Linked DNA regions of Xenopus tropicalis. Each later gene encodes a partner of the first gene's protein in a complex. Links are inferred from orthologs where the notes say so. Each region holds a gene or a part of one and is shown in the gene's direction. Other genes may lie near its edges. The genes, in order: ap1m1, ap1g1 and ap1s1.

Region 1 (3,752 bases):
ACTCACCAGGACCCACTGGGACAACTCCCTCTACCATGGCAGGCCAGTCCCACACTGTATATGGCAGGGTTTTAGGAGAGTTTTATGAACATGTATTAGCTAAGACTGACCACAGCAGCACAGATAATAAATACCAGGGCCGGAACTAGGGGTAGGCGGAAGAGGCACCTGTCTAGGGCAGGTACTTCTGTTGCCAACCCTTAGTCCGGGATCTCTTACCCCCACAGTGGATTTCCTGGTAGAGGGGGAAGTGGTGGGGCAAGGTGGCTGGCCAGGTCGCCTATGGGCCACCTCTGATAAATACACTCCAGCTAAAACCAAGACCTGCTAGTAAATAATAATTATGTGAATTATTATGTTTATACAACAGCAATAATCTGTTTGACAAATCAAATGCATATATATGTACATTTATTTATACAGTGCTACAGTATATACAGAGCATATACATTTGTAAAGGATGGGAAGTGTACAATGAGAAATAAACATTTTAATAAATAAAACATACACAGTGACAAACATGAGTCAGTAAACCCTCTTCTTTAAATGAACAGGGCTTGTGCTGAACATACTTTGTATCTTTATTTTTAATTATGTAAAGTCTATGTGGTTTTTTATATATCTTGGGGTAAACAGAGAAACAGAAGCTACTCCATGTTTGGTTCATGCCAGGTAGATAATTTCATTACCAGTATTCAACCCCCTCCCTCGCCCATTGTGTTTTATTCGCAGGAGTCCATCATGCAGGGGAATAATCTGTACATGGGCAATCAAATTATCTCCTTCATGGAACAGAATCAGTTTCCCTGTTTTTGCTGTGTCTTCTCAAGAATGAACAAAAAAACAGATTTTTCATATCATACCAACATGCAAAAAGTACGTTCAGCGCAAGCTTTACTACAAAGGCTTCCTTCCATAAAAGCCAAATGTAGTAGAACGTCCGTGCAATCTGATTCGCGTGAATCAATATGGCCAAGAATAAATAGTAACGCAAGGAATTGTTTCAATCTGTCAGCCGTAAAACAATTAATGGCCTTTCTATAAGACGTCTCACACATTTTTTGTGTGGAGACATGTTTAGACCGTTCACAAATATCGACTATGGAAGGACCCGCTTTTTGACTAAATCCGCCATCTTAGTAAGGGAATGTTAAGTCTCTATGACAGGGCTAACCGGAAGTTACATTGCGTTTCCTCTCTGAGCGGACCGCTATCGAGGTGGATAACGGGGATGGTATTGTGAGAGGACTGAGGATAACGAAGCTTTGGGCTAGTGGGCAGCAGCTTGGCTTGCCTTTGCAGGACTATCTTCGGCCGTAAGGATGTCGGCTAGCGCAGTATATGTGCTAGACCTGAAAGGGAAGGTGAGCGTTCGGATAATGAATGCGGGCAGGGCTGGTCACCAAGAGCGGGGCTGGCAGGGCCATGTTGTAGTGTTAGGGTGCCGAATAGAACGTTTCTGATCTGTATGAGCAAGGCGGATGAAATGAAGCAATATTAGGACAATACAGCATTATTTCTTTGAATATGACAGATTGTGTATGTGTTTCATCATTGAAGGTCGCTGAATTCGATTGTAGCTAGCCAGGCCCTTCTCAGAGTGGCATGATTTCTCTTCCGATTAGATGCATGTCTGACCAAACCTTATAAATGTGGTATTCGTATTGTACATCGCCACCACCCAATACGTTCCACTCCCTGTATGAGATGCTCTGCCTGCTGCTCGTTTGGCCGGCAGCTGCCACTTCTATGTTACTGAGCCGGAGTTAATAACACTGTGTGAGCGCAGCAGCAGGTGCCCCTGTGTGCGATTTACTTGTGTGCCAAACCTTACCTACATGTGAAAGGACTGTGTGAAGGTCAGAAGCTAAGGATTGCCTGAAATGTTACTCATTAGTGAAATAGCCATGGGATCTGTCTGAGCAGTTTTTATTATAAATCAGTAGTACAGAAAACCCTGGCACAGATCTGTTCATTAAATATCTATGTGTACATCACTATCACTTCCTCAGATCATTGGTTTTCAGACATTTTAAGCTTAACAAGAGCCTCGTGGGGATCCAGATCCAGATATAGGAAAAAATTATCAGTCGCACAGCCATAGTGTAGGAGAGCAACTCTTACCCCAAGTGGCCTTAAAGATTGGCTTTCTGCTGTACCTATGACAGAAAGTAGCATTCTCCCTAGATCTTACCTGATTTATGTTTATCTAACTACTTTGTGTCTGTGAAACACATCCCTGCAATACTCCAGGTTCAGCATTTTGGGTTAAGCATTTTTATCACTCAACATATTTTTCTCTTGGTTATTATTAACCAAATCCAAGCTGTTAGGGTAAACTCCAGGAGTGCTTATGATCAGTTTTTGTGGGTCAGATTCTGTCTGACTTAACAGCACAAGAGTTTGTTGGATCTTACAAAATCTGATCTCCATCAGTTCTAATTTAATTTTGGATCAGATATAGTGAAGTTTAGCCCGTAGAGCACAAAAAAGTAAAAAAAATGATGGGGGGAGGTGCCTAGACATTCCCAGAAATTACAACCTATAACCTTGGATCCAAAGACTACTTTATATCCACATTTGCTGTGTTTCATCTAAATGGTACTGGGACCTGTTTGAACAGATTTATTTTTTAGAAAATGGATTAAAGCTTGTTGTGGTTTTTTGAACAGGACTGACAGGAATGTGTTCTATAAATCCACAGTTTACATATTTATTGCCTACCTTTTTCAAATGTTTTATTTTTGTTTATTATAAACCACTTAAAAATACTTGTATATGCTATCTTTCTGTTATGGATGGTACACTGATATTTGTATTATACAAATAACTGCAACTGGGTTTGTCTTAAAGGAGAAGGAAAGGCTAATAAAGAGTTAATCTCAAGCTGCAGGCATACCTTCAGTTCTCTCAATAGTGCCCCTAAGTCTCCCCATATTTCACCTGTTCAGATGATCAGAAGCTAAACAGGAAGAAAAAACACTGAGCTGTGTAAAGTTCCCATAATGCCTCACTCCTGCACAGACACCCAGACCAAGTGAACATGCTCAGTTAGTAAGACTATGAGTCAGCTTCCTGTTGATTGGCTCAGATCCACATTCCTAAGGGGGGGGTGAGTTCTTAGCATTCTTGAGGGAGGAGGGGAGCAGGGGAGCAGCAGAGAGGAGAGAGCTGAAAGCTGTGTGTCTCTGGCAGAGGAAAACAGACACAGCTAATCTTTTTACAGATAAGTCAGTATAGTGTTTCTGTGAGTGTTTATTGCTGTATTTACATAGACATTTCTGATAAAGCTTCTGGTAAACCTTTTTTTCTGTCTTAAAATGACTCTAAACAACCCCCAGAATAACTTACCTTAGTCCCTGCATTCAGTCTGATCTGGTTTCTGATTTATAAGTTGAAATCTCCAGCTCTTTTCCTCTTCTTCCTGGTACAGCATGAAGCCCTGCCTCTCTTCCTGTTCAGCTCTCTATAGTGGAAGAGGGCAGCTTTCTGGGAATGCACAGTAAGTCAGGCAAGTTATGTATGGGAACTGAAAAAAAACTGCTGCTGCACACTGGCTTCTGCTTCTCTGTACATTCCCAGAAAGCTTCTTCTATGTCAGGCTTACTACTTCTTTAAATGAGTAGGTCACGTTTAAATGACCCTTTCATATGATGCAGTGATGTTCTAAGATAATTTGCTGAGTGCCTTTATTTTTATTTTTTGGTCAAGCAGCTTTCCAGATAGGAATTACAGCAGCTGTCTGTTTGTTA
Region 2 (3,652 bases), on another chromosome or scaffold:
TGCCAGCACCACCCTAGTGGTTAGTAATAATAAGTAATAAATAATCAAGGGTGGATTTCCCCTACTAATGTGAAGTTTTGTATGTTGTAGACCAGCTATGTTAAAATATAAGAAAAGGTGAAGAGCATGCAAAAAGTTCCTGGGGGTGTCCATTATGTGCTGTCATTGACTGTTTGTAACTCCTATGTGGACTGGCAACCGACAAGGCTCTGTTTTGCAGTATTCAAGTTTTTCATGCAACTAAATCCTGCCTTCAAGCCAGGAATTAAAAAAATGAGCACCTACATGGAGGGAACTGACAGCAACATCAAAGGGGAGCAACATGTTGCTCGCGAGCCACTGGTTGAGGTTCACTGTTACAAACTTAAGGTGGCCATACACCGGAAGATTTGCTTGTTTAGTGAGGCCGCCAAGCGAGCAGATCGTCTCCCGATATGCCCACCTAAAGGTTGGCAATTTTAGGCTAATTTGATTGTTTGGCCCTACTGACATTTGCCAATGCAAATGGGGTTGTTTGAGTTCCCTGCAGTATATTAATACCTTACTCTTGGTGTGATGATATTTGTTGATTGACCACAACTGTACAAGTGTAGTCCAAACTCCTTAGAAATAGTTTTAAAGCTTTTTCCAGCCTTGACAGCATCAATAACTGTTTTTCTGAGGTCTTAAGAAATCTCTGTTTAAGCCTTAACACACAGCCACAAACCCAGATTTCTCTAGATAAGGCAGAGCATCACATGATAATTATCCCGATTATCATGCCATTGTTTAAAACTCAAATATCCCCTTCAAAGGAACTGAGAATTCTAGAGGGCCACATACTTTGCCAAACACACTTATGTAACTTTGGATCATTATATGCATTGTGTTTGGCTGATTGGTTTAACTTGGTTCTCTATACATAGTTTTAGGACTTGCATGAGACAGATCATCTTATAACTCACAATATATGCAGAAAAAATGAAAATCCAAAAGGGTTCACAAACTATTGAGGTCCACTGTATATTTCTGTTGTGGCCACCTGTTATTGATCAGGTCTTTTATTCATTCAATGGACTCCCCATCATTTAAATGCTGCTTAGAGATCCTCTTCCACCAGTGGTAAAACAACACTCTACGAGGCCCCCTTCGGCATATCTTTGGAGGGCTCCCCCTGTTCCCCAGGCCTCCCTGCGACTGCTTCCTCTATAGTTATGCCGCTGTCTTCCACTTTGTCTGTCTTTTCATTCACTTTTGTTTACCATCTGCCTTAGTTTCATTCTCAATGTGTTTTTTTTCATTGGAGGTCATCAGCCTCTCTTAAACATTTTTGAGAAATGGTAAATGTAAATGTGAAGAATGAAAAAAAAAATTAGAAATGTAGGAAAGACCGTCCAGGGCTGTTCCAAGTGGATCCTCAAAGGCTTGATTGTTAAGGCCTTATTAGTTGCTCTAAAAAGTGTCATTGTTTAACATCATAATTTTAAAGTGGGACTAAACACTCCTAAACATATTCATGTAAAACTGCCCAGAGAGCTTTTCAGAGCACTTTAACAATTTACTTTTTTTTTTCTTCACTTTTCGTTATATATTAGCAGTTTTCTACTGTCCAATCAAAGACACAATAGATATATTCTCAATAAGCCTAGCCGTGCTTTCACATAACCATTTCAAGCACTTTTCTTTTTCTTTCTTAAACAAAGCCATAGGTCTCTGATTTTTAATCCTCCCATCCAACTTGCTCTGTTGCTGTGCTGTTGCTTGGCAGCCTATGTTAGTCTGTACTTGAGTGACTCTCTTGCATACTTTCTGCAACCCCTCTGACCTTTATTACAATTCTTTCACAGTAGCTCAATCACTAGGGGGCTTGTGCTTTAGTATTAGTGGAATGGTAATTTATTCTGGCATTTTGGGACATGTATAGTTGTGCCAAAATAAGGAAAATCTGTTTTGTCACGATTAACTACCGAATTAAAAACTGACACTTTGAGTGGTTCTTTAGATATTTCTGGGTAGCTTAAAATTACCTTTTGTTTGCAAAACATCTTAAAATATCAGACCTTTTGAATGTGACAGCTATCTAAAATATTTTCACATCAGAGCACCCACATGCATGCTCTGCAGATCAGTGTCCCTAATTGCTGCTTCCTGTCTTTTATTCTGTTTGCTTGGGATCCTGCTGAATGGTAGAATGAAAAGGTAAGACTTCTTCTTTTGTATTTCACTGTTGTTTCTGCCCTAGATAGTTGATCTATTGAATGAATGAAATCACTCTCCACAAGTGTAACTTATTTATCAGTCTTTTTAGATATTTTGTAAAGCTAAAAACTAGCCTCCTTTACCACCCCTGTCCCAAATTAAAAAATAACAGAACAAAAACTTGATTTACTGAGGGATCCATTGTAAATCTTGTCCTTCCGTGGCTTATACTCCTAAACCATAACATTGTGCCTGTCGTACTGAATCGTATTACCTTGATCTCCATACACACAACCCAATCTGAAGTTTACAACTAATGCCTACTTTGTAGCTTTAGTCACTCTGTCTGTTGTGGTCAGATTTGTGTTCTGGTGGAAATATAATGTGTATTTGCTTTGAGAGCAGACTGATCCACATTGATATAAATTTTAGCTTTTTGAGATAAAGTTTTTTGAGTCTATCAAACCTTTTTTTTCCCCCTCCAGCTTGTCCCCCAGTTAGTTCGTATTCTTAAAAACCTTATCATGTCCGGGTATTCTCCAGAACATGATGTGTCTGGGATCAGTGACCCCTTTTTGCAGGTGAGTGTGGGTATGTGTTTAAGCTCAGTGACGGTATGAAGCATTTTTATTAAATTCTAAGAGGGACCTTGGTTACCTAATAACTGTTTTTTTTTTTTGTTTGTTTGTTTGCTTGTTTTTTGGACTGTTTAAGGTTCGGATATTGCGGCTTCTCAGGATATTAGGCAGAAATGATGATGATTCAAGTGAAGCCATGAATGATATTTTGGCACAGGTAAGCAAGCAAATGCAGCTCGGTCGATAATAAACTTCTGTATTTTTGCCTGGTATAGCAGTTGATTAAAAGATTTGTTTTTGACTGAATGGACTTACAAAAGTGTAGTATTGGTTTGTTGATTTGTGGATTTTGTGTGGAACGAGAGTAATAGTGCTGTGTGTTCTAGATGACGCACTTCATCAGTTATATAGTTATTTTCCTCTTGTGCTATTGTTATTTTTTAGGTTGCAACCAACACAGAGACTAGTAAAAATGTCGGCAATGCCATTTTATATGAGACTGTCTTAACAATCATGGACATAAAGTCAGAGAGTGGTCTACGGGTATGTGTCACATCAGATCTGATCTTTTGCTTAAAATCACTTTTCTCCCCCCTTGCATAATAACTGCTCCTGCAAATAGACCACCATTGCCTCTTCTTTCTGCATTAACCTGTGCAAATCCCCTTTTCTAGCTGTTCTAAACCTTTAGGCTAATAGTACACAGGTCGTCTTTATCTGCTAGAGTTTATATGCCAGTTGAGAAATAACAATCTGCTGCCGTCTGTTCCCTGTATGTGAGTCCTCTGACATGTTTGGGATTAACTTTTCACACACAGACAGCAGAAACTGCATACTTCAGCTTTTTGTGCCAAAATCCACACTTTTTGCACGGACAGATTGACCACAGTCAGGGA
Region 3 (3,752 bases), on another chromosome or scaffold:
GCACTGTGTATTGGGGCAATTGGGGGTACTGTGTATGGGGGCACTGTGTATTGGGGAAATTGGAGGTACTGTGTATGGGGGGCACTGTGTATTGGGGCAATTGGGGGTACTGTGTATGGGGGGCACTGTGTATTGGGGCAATTGGGGGTACTGTGTATGGGGGGCACTGTGTATTGGGGAAATTGGAGGTACTGTGTATGGGGGGCACTGTGTATTGGGGAAATTGGGGGTACTGTGTATGGGGGGCACTGTGTATTGGGGAAATTGGAGGTACTGTGTAAGGGGGCAATCGGGGCACTGTGTATTGAGGAAATTGGGGGTACTGTGTATGGGGGCAGTGTATTGAGGAAATTGGGGGTACTGTGTATGGGGGCACTGTGTAAGGGGGCAATCGGGGGTACTGTGTATGGGGGGCCACTGTGTATGGGGGAAATGTCTATAGGGGTAATTGAGGGCCCCTGATACTTTTAATGTCTGTGTGTCCTTTGTACTGATGGGAGGGGCCCCGTGATTGCTAATGGCGGCCAAGAGCAAGTGATTATTAAAAATTAAATAAGGAGCAAAATGACAGCAGTGAATGTATTTCCCCTCAGCATTATCTCTGACTTCCCAGCCAGGCACTTCCTGTGAGATGCCCCAAGCTCCTCCCTCTGCCTGACAGCTCAGGGACATACACGTAGCGCAGGTAAGAGCCCGCCCAAACCTGCCCCGGGGTCACCTGATGTCTGCGCCCGTTACCATGGATACCGGGAGGGAAAGCTGGCATTGCCTCAACCGCCTCAGTGTGCATGTGCGGCAGGTGTACTTCCCTCCGCCCTTATGGGTGAGGCCGGGGGAGGAGGAGGAAGCGGCTCCGGACACTCAGCTACGAGAGGCCGGGGACGGCGGCCTGGGGGGCAGGCCGCAGCATAAGGAGTCACCGCGTACAGAACAGGCAGCAAGATGGTGAGAAATGGGGGATATGGAGGGGGAGCAGGCAGTGCGTTTCACAGGAGGCGGCTCTGCTAAATGCATTGGTATAATGATAACCAGGCGCCTCCATTCTCAGGTACCAGTGGGCGGGATTTATATCAATTAAGGAGGCGGAGCCTCCTGCAGTTCTCTGACAAACCGCCTGGGCATACCTACATACACTACACAAGCCGGCCAAGGTACAAGGCATTTTATAGACGCACCGAGCCCCGCCCTCAGGTTTCTACGTGAAGCGTCACAGCCCTTACGTACAGGCATGACGCCGCAAATCTCGCGTGAGGAAACGGGATTTGCTGGGAGACAGGAGGCCGGGAGCTTGCGGGGAACAGCGTTGCGGGAGGTGTAAGTAGCCAGTCGGTACCGTGTCAGGGCAAGCGGGAGTGTTGGGCGGGGCTGCGCTTAGTTACAGTAGCCGGGCTCGGTGCTGTGGGCTTGGGAAGGGAGCCGGGGTGCCGGCATGTTCTGTCCCCTGCTGCTTCCCGTAGTGCTGCGCGTTTGCCAGGGAAGTTTTAGTCTGTTTAAAGCTGCATGAGAATTGGAAGGGTGGGGGGCGAGGTTAAGGCTGCTCAGCCAATCCTGGTGCAGCTCCTGTGTGGGACCCCCTTGGAAAAAGCATAGAACTGATTTATCCAGCCTAACCACACCCCCTTGCCCTGACTCCTCCCCCAGCCCACTCACTTATAAATCCCTGCTCTCTAGTCAAGTTTTTCCCTACCCGCTCCTAAACATTACCCCCGATAGTGATGTGTGGGCTGGCTCCATACCTTGCTAATTCCCTGCCCTCTGTGCCCAGTCCCGCTGGGAAGTCACTACAGAAATGGATTCAGAATGTTGCATTAACCCCAGAGATGATATATATATGGGATCAACTGCAGAACTGCCCCACATCCCAGTAGAAAGTAACAGTACAGTCACATACCCTATAGAGCAGGGAGCAGGGGGTAGAACTGCCCCACATCCCAGTAGAAAGTAACAGTACAATCACATACCCTATAGAGCAGGGAGCAGGGGGTAGAACTGCCCCACATCCCAGTAGAAAGTAACAGTACAATCACATACCCTATAGAGCAGGGGGCAGGGGGTAGAACTGCCCCACATCCCAGTAGAAAGTAACAGTACAATCACATACCCTATAGAGCAGGGGGCAGGGGGTAGAACTGCCCCACATCCCAGTAGAAAGTAACGGTACAATCACATACCCTATAGAGCAGGGGGTAGAACTGCCCCACATCCCAGTAGAAAGTAACAGTACAATCACATACCCTATAGAGCAGGGTGTAGAACTGCCCCACATCCCAGTAGAAAGTAACAGTACAATCACATACCCTATAGAGTATGGAGCAGGGGGTTGAACTGCCCCACATCCCAGTAGAAAGTAACAGTACAATCACATACCCCATAGAGCAGGGGGTAGAACTGCCCCACATCCCAGTAGAAAGTAACAGTACAATCACATACCCTATAGAGCAGGGGGTAGAACTGCCCCACATCCCAGTAGAAAGTAACAGTACAATCACATACCCTATAGAGCAGGGGGTAGAACTGCCCCACATCCCAGTAGAAAGTAACAGTACAATCACATACCCTATAGAGCAGGGGGTAGAACTGCCCCACATCCCAGTAGAAAGTAACAGTACAATCACATACCCTATAGAGCAGGGAGCAGGGGGTTGAACTGCCCCACATCCCAGTAGAAAGTAACAGTACAATCACATACCCTATAGAGCAGGGGGTTGAACTGCCCCACATCCCAGTAGAAAGTAACAGTACAATCACATACCCTATAGAGCAGGGGGTAGAACTGCCCCACATCCCAGTAGAAAGTAACAGTACAATCACATACCCTATAGAGCAGGGGGTAGAACTGCCCCACATCCCAGTAGAAAGTAACAGTACAATCACATACCCTATAGAGCAGGGGTAGAACTGCCCCACATCCCAGTAGAAAGTAACAGTACAATCACATACCCTATAGAGCAGGGGGTAGAACTGCCCCACATCCCAGTAGAAAGTAACGGTACAATCACATACCCTATAGAGCAGGGAGCAGGGGGTTGAACTGCCCCACATCCCAGTAGAAAGTAACAGTACAATCACATACCCTATAGAGCAGGGGGTAGAACTGCCCACATCCCAGTAGAAAGTAACAGTACAATCACATACCCTATAGAGCAGGGGGTAGAACTGCCCCACATCCCAGTAGAAAGTAACAGTACAATCACATACCCTATAGAGCAGGGGGTAGAACTGCCCCACATCCCAGTAGAAAGTAACAGTACAATCACATACCCTATAGAGCAGGGGGCAGGGTGTAGGGCAGACAGGTTGAGCCTGAATAGAATAGAAATGGGAGCCTCTGTCTATACTGTCCAATTGCATGCTGGGTATTGTAGTTTTATATTAATCCTAGCTGTAGGCTAATTGTTAGATACAAACTACATTACCCAGCATCCAGTGGAACAGGCACACTAGGGTGGAAAAACTTTGGCTAGTTTCCAAACTACAAACTTGCCAAAGGCTCCAAAAAATAGCCCAAAACTGTACCTTGGCGGGTTTGTACCTTATATAGCCAGGGCTTTAAATTAGTAGCCCAATTTGGAGGGAAAACCACCAACCTGGCAACCATGAGGTGCGTGGCCACCGTGCTCCGCCCCTTTTCTAACATCATGATGGGTGGGTGCAGGTATATAAACACAGGGAAGAAGCCGGTTCAGGTTGGGAGCGGTCGGATCGACCCACACATCACCGCTACCCTCTATGTAGGGGAAAGAACCTGCAGG

The links.
Region 2: the proteins of ap1m1 (region 1) and ap1g1 are in contact, whole or in part, in a cryo-EM structure (PDB 7R4H), measured with the Mus musculus proteins. The link is inferred for Xenopus tropicalis from reciprocal best matches to the Homo sapiens genes AP1M1 and AP1G1. Residues at the interface, in NP_031482.1 of Mus musculus: Ser289, Asn318, Asp319, Ala320, Asp321, Ser322, Trp334, Pro336, Glu337, Asn338, Ser339, Gly361, Leu362, Pro363, Ser364, Val365, Glu366, Ala367, Glu368; in NP_001288140.1 of Mus musculus: Arg24, Glu25, Gln28, Lys29, Ala32, Arg35, Ser36, Arg39, Glu40, His64, Phe65, Gln67, Leu68, Gln97, Val99.
Region 3: the proteins of ap1m1 (region 1) and ap1s1 are in contact, whole or in part, in a crystal structure (PDB 1W63), measured with the Mus musculus proteins. The link is inferred for Xenopus tropicalis from reciprocal best matches to the Homo sapiens genes AP1M1 and AP1S1. Residues at the interface, in NP_031482.1 of Mus musculus: Lys12, Glu31, Asn186, Asn188, Val189, Leu190, Glu232, Glu234, Asn270, His272, Arg421; in NP_031483.1 of Mus musculus: Lys26, Lys30, Arg33, Glu34, Gln37, Lys43, Glu51, Trp52, Arg53, Asp54.

The regions. Positions count from the first base shown.
Region 1 is NC_030677.2:98,838,363-98,842,114, forward strand, and holds the start of ap1m1 (AP-1 complex subunit mu-1), read left to right. Parts: upstream 1-1,089; 5' UTR 1,090-1,322; coding exon 1,323-1,364; intron 1,365-3,752. UniProt on the Homo sapiens protein: Subunit of clathrin-associated adaptor protein complex 1 that plays a role in protein sorting in the trans-Golgi network (TGN) and endosomes.
Region 2 is NC_030680.2:59,348,198-59,351,849, forward strand, and holds part of ap1g1 (AP-1 complex subunit gamma-1), read left to right. Parts: intron 1-2,169; coding exon 2,170-2,178; intron 2,179-2,663; coding exon 2,664-2,759; intron 2,760-2,892; coding exon 2,893-2,973; intron 2,974-3,200; coding exon 3,201-3,299; intron 3,300-3,652. UniProt on the Homo sapiens protein: Subunit of clathrin-associated adaptor protein complex 1 that plays a role in protein sorting in the late-Golgi/trans-Golgi network (TGN) and/or endosomes.
Region 3 is NC_030679.2:143,417,764-143,421,515, forward strand, and holds the start of ap1s1 (AP-1 complex subunit sigma-1A), read left to right. Parts: upstream 1-1,273; 5' UTR 1,274-1,314; intron 1,315-3,752. UniProt on the Homo sapiens protein: Subunit of clathrin-associated adaptor protein complex 1 that plays a role in protein sorting in the late-Golgi/trans-Golgi network (TGN) and/or endosomes.